Linked DNA regions of Danio rerio. The protein of the gene in region 1 purifies or fractionates together with the protein of each later gene. This does not show direct contact. Links are inferred from orthologs where the notes say so. Each region holds a gene or a part of one and is shown in the gene's direction. Other genes may lie near its edges.

Evidence for each region. Proteins that work in one complex are often made in the same cells at the same time.
Region 2: the proteins of cdk14 (region 1) and ccny purify together in Homo sapiens (affinity purification with western blotting; 3 studies listed by BioGRID and IntAct, with this or other methods). This does not show direct contact. The link is inferred for Danio rerio from reciprocal best matches to the Homo sapiens genes CDK14 and CCNY.

What each region holds. Positions count from the first base shown.
Region 1 is NC_133191.1:58,424,569-58,428,227, reverse strand, and holds part of cdk14 (cyclin-dependent kinase 14), read left to right. Parts: intron 1-449; coding exon 450-544; intron 545-3,261; coding exon 3,262-3,341; intron 3,342-3,659. UniProt on the Homo sapiens protein: Serine/threonine-protein kinase involved in the control of the eukaryotic cell cycle, whose activity is controlled by an associated cyclin.
Region 2 is NC_133199.1:4,595,752-4,599,410, forward strand, and holds part of ccny (cyclin-Y), read left to right. Parts: intron 1-300; coding exon 301-324; intron 325-1,531; coding exon 1,532-1,635; intron 1,636-2,302; coding exon 2,303-2,338; intron 2,339-3,380; coding exon 3,381-3,438; intron 3,439-3,659. UniProt on the Homo sapiens protein: Positive regulatory subunit of the cyclin-dependent kinases CDK14/PFTK1 and CDK16.

The sequences.
Region 1 (3,659 bases):
AAATATACAGGACACCGGCCCTCCAGGACCAAGTTTGGAGACCTCTGGTCTAGACTGTTGTTTCTGTTCTGGGATCCTTCAGAGCAGGGGTGCCCAAACTCGGTCCTGGAGGGCCGGTGTCCTGCAAACTTTTTTAGTCCCAACCCCAATCAGACACACCTGGGGTAAGTAATCATTTATGCTTTCTAGAAACATCCGTGCAGGTGTGTTGAGGTAAGTTTGGGTTGAAATCTGCCGGACACTGGCCCTCCAGAACCGAGTTTGGACTTCCCTGCTTTAGAGTGTTTAAAGCTGCACTTAATCTGAAGTACTGTAGAAATTCTACATATTTTCATCATGTATTTTCCACTTCAGAAGAAATAAACACGTCAGGTGGCAATGAAGGAGAGTAAATAAGCAGGAAAGTTAAATTCTGTAAGTGGACTGATCGTTTAATCTTTGTTTTTCAGCCCACAAGCCCAAAGTTTGGCAAAGCGGATTCATACGAGAAGCTGGAGAAACTGGGAGAAGGATCCTACGCCACTGTTTACAAAGGGAAGAGCAAGTGAGTGTGTTTGATTTATACACATGCCTACTGACTTTATCATGGCACAACAGTACAGAAATGTTGATCACTCTTTACAATACGGTTTCATTAATGTTCTTTACAATTTTTTTATGATATAAAATTCATTAGTTCTATCTAATCTATTTATTTGTTTGCTGAAAATATTTTATTATTTTATTTATTTTTTGTTTTGTTTTATTTGTAGTTTTTTATTTTGTATTTTATTTTATTGCTTTTTTGCATTTTATTGCTTTTGTTTTCTTGATTTGTTTTGTTGCATTTTATTGCATATTATTTTATTTTGTTTTGTTTTGCTTTGCTTATCGTTATTTATTTTTATTTTATTTATTCTATTGCTTTTATTGCATTTTATGGCTTTGTTTTTTGTCTTGTTGCATTTTATTGTCTTTTATTTTGTCTTTTGTTTTATTTATTTTTATTTAATTTTTTATTGCTTTTTATTGCATTGCATTTTGTTTCATTTTGTTTCATTTTGTTTTATTGTTTTATTTAATTTTATTGCTTTTTAAATTTATTTATTTATTTTTTATTAATTTTTATTTAATTTAATTTTATTGCTTTTTATTGCATTTTATTTGATTATATTTTACTTTATTCACTCAATTTTGTGCATTTATCAGACATTTTGTTAAGTAATATAAAATGTTAAGATAAAATTATTAACAGAAAGCCCCAGCTTCTCAACTGGAGCATGAAATCATGTGTTCCCTTCATAAATGAAAGCGTGTAAAATCAAATCTGTGTTGGTGTGAAATGAATTGAGCGTCAATGTGTGTGTTTGACAGTAATGATGCTGTGTGTGTGTGTGTGTGTGTGTGTGTGTGTGTGTGTGTGTGTGTGTGTGTGTGTGTGTGTGTTTTTGTGTGTGTGTGTGTGTGTGTGTGAGTTGATTTATTAAAGCTCTTGACCTCTGCGTTTAGATTCACTCCACTGCCTTTAAATTGCATCTCATTGACTTCCAGTCTGCAGTAAATCACACGTGACTCTGTTTATTGTCTTTAACATCTTCCTGCACTCAAATGATCTCTGCATTTTATTACTAAATGCATGAATCCACCTCCGAAAAAACTCATCAGTTCCTTTGATTAAACACCATTTAAAAACAGAGACTTGTAACTTGCACTGGATAAAATCTCATCCCATATCCTAAATGCTCCACTTTATTCCCTTATTCAGTTTTCTGTTTTAATAAAGTATATCTAGATTTGATTATACTGTTTTAATTAAACTTTAATAAAAACAATAATGATGAAATGTCTGATTGTTTTAGTTATTAAAGCTATTTCATAAAACTCATTAACCAGACCCTATGAATTATTTTATTTCTCCAAATTCCATTTTTCTATATTTTGTTTTATTTTGTTAAACTGTATTTGTTCGTCTATTTTGTATCCCTAAAATATTTAATTATATTTTGATTTTTTTTATGATTATATTTTATTATGACTGTACTTTATAGTGATTTTTTATTTTAACATTTACGTTGACTTTTTATTTCAATTTATTTTATTATGACTTTAATTTATTTTCCTTTATTTAATACAATTTTATTTTTATTTTATAACATTTTTTCCTGTAATTTTATTTTATTTATTATATTTTAATTATATGTTCTAGATATACTAGATTAAATCTTTCTGAGGGGTGTGTTAAAGCCAGTTGGAGCTAAACTCAGCAGGACACCGGCCCTTCTGGACTGAGATTGGACACCACTGAACTAAACTATTTATTTGTTTTTCTGTTTTGTATCCCTAAAAATATTTTATATAATTGTGATTTATTGTATTGTATTTTATTTTATTTTGATGTGATTTTTGTATTTTTGTTGTGATTTTATTTTATTGAGACTGTAATTTAGTGTGATTTATTTAATTTAATATTTAATTTTACTTTTGCTTTTATTTTATTCTATTGAATTTTATCATGGCTTTAATATATTTTACTTTATTTAATAATTATTTTTTCTGTTTCTGATTGAATTTTTTGTGATTGATTGTGTTTTATTGTGATTTAATTTTTGTAATCGTGTTTTATTTTAATTTACTGTGTTTATCGTGATTTATTGTATTTTATTGTAATTTTTTATTTTATTTTGTTATTTTATTTTTTGTGATTGTTTTTTTTGATATACTATTTTATTATGATTTGTATTGTAATTTTTTATATTGGTATGATTTTATTTTATAGTCATTACTTTTATTTTTTACTATGATTGAATTTTTTGTGATTGTTTATTTTGATTTACTCTATTTTATTGTGATTTTATTTTTATTTGTTTTATTTTATTGTGACTGTATTTATTTAGATTTATTGTGATTTATTATAATTTATAATAATTTATTGTATTATATTGTTATGATTTTGTGATTTGAATTTGTTGATTTACTGTATTTTATTGTGATTTGTTTTATTTCATTGTGATTTATTTATTTTTTGTGATTTTACTTTATTTTATTTTCACACAATTTTATGCGCTTGATTCACTTTTATCCAGACATTTTCAAGTGACTTACAGAAAATGTCAACGCATGCATTATTATCAGTTCATGTGTTTCCTGGGAATTAAGCCTTTGCAGTCAGTCTGTTCTCTTATCGCCAGGGGTCCAATAGACTTTTACTGTGGTATTTCCTAAGGATCACTGCTGTACCAGAGATCAGTTTAAGCTAAAAAGTGTGTTTCTCTGTGTCTTCAGGGTGAACGGGAAACTGGTTGCTCTGAAAGTGATTCGTCTGCAGGAGGAAGAAGGAACACCATTTACAGCCATCAGAGAAGGTAAAGCTAAATGCAAAATGTTTTGTTTCTGGTTAATAATCAGCATAATTTACAGTTACAACCCTCCTGTAAATTTGTTTCTTTCTCAATTATTTCCCAAATGATGTCGAACAGATTCAGGAATTTTTCACAGTATTTCCTATAATATTTGTTCTTCTGGAGAAAGTCTTATTTGTTTCATTTCGGCTAAAACAAAAGCAGTTTTTAATTGTTTTAAACCCATTATTATTATTCGCCCCCTTAAACAATATCATTCAGGTAGGCTAATAAATCAGACTTTGACTGTACATGTATATCGGCCTCTGAAATTGCTAACGG
Region 2 (3,659 bases), on another chromosome or scaffold:
CAGGATTGACGACTGGTAGTGTATTTCTAATTGTGCTTGTGTCTACAATAAAGACATCACTTCACCCACAAAACAAATCAAATCAACACGCCACCACCACCATAGGAGAATGCAGAACGCAGAATTGCATGAGGCTTTTAGTTTGCATCAGTAACAGCTGTTCTTTTGTTTTCTGATAGAACTGATTTCAAATGCACGGCTTGGTTTTCTTCATTTCATTAGCGCATGCTATTCATACTAAATGTGCAATGAATAGCTGCTGTTTTGTTCCCATTTTAATGTCTTTTATTGCTTTGCAAGTTAACGCACATTGCGGAGTCAAAGGTAAATATTTGCTCATTGCTCTACTCTTTCCTTTCCTTAAACTGTTGTGTCTCTTTTGACATTGATTTATTGATTTATTAAAGGGTTCACCTTGGTAATGAAAATTATGTCATCATGTACTCTTTTTCCACTTGTTCCAAATCTGTTTAACACAAAATCATATTTTCTTAAAGAATGTTGGAAACTGGTGGCCACTGGATCATATTATTTTCTTTTTCTAATATGGATGTTAATAGTCACGCCTGGTTTTAGACCACAACAATTACCAAGTGTCACATTACCTTCCCTTGTTTGTCGCAAATTACGTGACATCAACCGGACGTGGACAAATTACATGACATCACGTGGACTGAGCATGCTGTTGTTAATATTAAAAGGAACACAAATATATTTATGCTTTTTTGGAGTCAAACACTTTAAACAAAGCTTGAACAAAATTTAAGGCCACGTAAAAACTCAATTAAGACTTTTAAAAACCTTTTAAGGGCCTTAATTTTCTCATAATTGATTTGTCAACTTTTAATACTTTTTAAGACACCTTGTTTTGGATCTCCATCTGCTAAAAGCCACCATGTGTTCTTTTGTGTTTGGTCATAATAAGCTTACATAATTTATCATATAAGAAAAAAGGCCCACAGCGGCTTCTACCTCTGCTGTAAATTACATTTTCCTTTTGATATTTGGCACATATTTTCCAGAAAGTGATGATTTTGTTCTCTTTGACTTACTGGATAAAAACGCTGCTTCATTTGCATCGGTATTCCAGTTTTGCACATAAGTTTGAATGCAATTAAAGCTACCAGTCTCCAACATTTTCCCCTAATTATCTTCTTTTGCATACAAAGAAAGGAATTCAAACATGTTTACAACAAGTGGAGGATGAGTAGCCTAACTGATGACAGAGCCTTTATTTTTGGTTGAACTGTCCCTTTAATGTGGCTTATCCGTTTGATATCTTGCTATAAATTTGTTAGCAAGTTGCATAATACTTTAGTGTGTTGTTTGTTGTACTGGGCAGGGATTCTTACTAACACACACACACACATTCACATACTCATTAAGCTAGTCACTCTGGTATAAATGAGATGATAATGGCTTGTTTGGGGCTGCAGGTGGCCTAATTTGCAGTCTGTTTGCTGAATCTGTGTGTGTGCATGAGAGTGACTGATGTTTAGTTTGTAATTTTGTGTGTGTCCTTGTCTTTTAGCAACATCCGTCTGGTCCAATGAGACGGAAGTACAGCTCATGTTCGACGATCTTCCTAGACGACAGCACCGTCAGCCAACCCAACCTCAAATACACCATCAAATGGTACTAGAAACCTCCATATAACAGTAATAGAGCTGCGTTTCATTCATTTTCAAAGTTTAAAATGGCTTTTTTTAGGCAGTGAAACAAGGTTTTGATTTGCACAAGAAGAAATTAAGGCTTGCAACTTTCCTAAGCAGTGTTTATATATAATAACTGCAACACATCTGAGCTGATTCAGTGAGGAAGTGAGCTATCTGGCAGATTTTTATGTTAATGTTATACATTTTCCTCATGTGTACTCACTTGTTCTCTCTCTGTGTAACAGTGCCCTCTGGTTACATGCATGTATGAATTAATGTCATATAATCATATCTGTACTTTTAATGTTTTAATAAGCATACATACAATTCCTGTATATTGCAAAACCTTCTTAATAGCATGCTAACAACATTAAATAAAAAATATATTATTATTAAATTATTAGTAGTAGTAGTATTACTAATACCAGCATATCACTGCGATTTCATATTATTATTATTTATGTTTTTTATATTATTATTTATGTTTTTTACATTTGTTAGTTAGTTCTTCTGCTTGATCAACATGTACAGTCTGCTTTTTTATGTGCATTTTATGGTGATTAAAATGTTCAGTTTAGTCTTAATGTAATATAGGTATATTATTGATACATTGTCAATGTTTGACTAATATTTTGTTGTGTTTGCAGTGTCGCCCTCGCAATATACTACCACATAAAGAACAGGTATGTCTGAGATGACTCTCATCAGATCAGTGTGGGAGCCAAGGGAAGTGTGTGTGTGTGTGTGTGTGTGTGTGTGTTTGAATGATTCCACAACAGTATGAAAGGATGGTTTTGTTTTTGAGGATTGGATTGATGAAGTCCTGCAGTGTGTCGCTCTTTACAAAAACACACTGGAGTTTCATTTTACCAAGAGAGATCCTAATTCACTGGTCCACATGTGCTGCGGTGCACTGTGGGAGAGATTGATTGTCTGGTCTGCTAGTTCAGAGTGACAGACCTGTTTAGGAAAATGTCTATCAGTATGATTTGTACAATGAACTGTTTGTATGAGCTTTATTTGATTGGGTTGTGTCCGTGTGGTTTCAGAATGAGGATCTTACATTGGTAAATTCCTGCTTTGTCTGTCTGACTGTCTAGCTGTCTGTCTCTTTCATTCATCTGTCTGTCTGTCTGTCTATAATCCATCTGTCGGTCTACCTATATATCTGTTTATGTCTGTCTGTCTGTCTGTCTATTTATCTATCTAATATATCTATCTGTCTGTCTATCTATCTTTCTATCTATAATATGTATCTGTCTATCTGTTTTATAATCTGTCTATCTATAATCTATCTGTCAGACGGACTATTGTATATCTGTCTGTTTGCCTGTGTCTATCTTTCTCTCTGTCTGTTTATTCTTCTGTATATTAATTAAATGTCTGTATTCTTGTCTTTATTTATTTTTTGTTTATTTATCTATCTGTGTGTCTTTCCATCCATCTAACATCATGTCTGTGCTAATCCATTCGCGTTCACTCATCTGTCAATCTGAGTCAAAACTTTATTCTGTGTCTTTTTCTCAAACCCTTAACACCATATAAACCCTTAATGCTTGATAACCTTCAAACTTCAAAGCTGTTTTAAAGAAACTTTCAGGACACGGTTTGGGCCACATTGAATGTCTATCACAACAGACGTTTCTTTCCTGGTTCTTTAATGCATTATAAGAATACAGCTTAGACTGTCTTGCTTAATCTAATACCCATTCACTCTTCTTTCAGAAATGTGGACGGGCGAATGCTGTTAGACATTTTTGATGAAAAGCTTCATCCACTTTCAGTAAGTTTATTATTATTATCATTAAAATTATTATTATTACTGCAGCTTATATAAGCTACTGAATTACTCCACCTGTCAAAAGTTTGGGATTGGAAATTATTTATTTTGATCAAAACTTATTAATAAATGTATTATTTGATCAGAAATACAGTAATAAAACAACTGTAAAATTGTGAAATATTATTACAATATAAAATAGCAAATTTCTTATTGAATATATT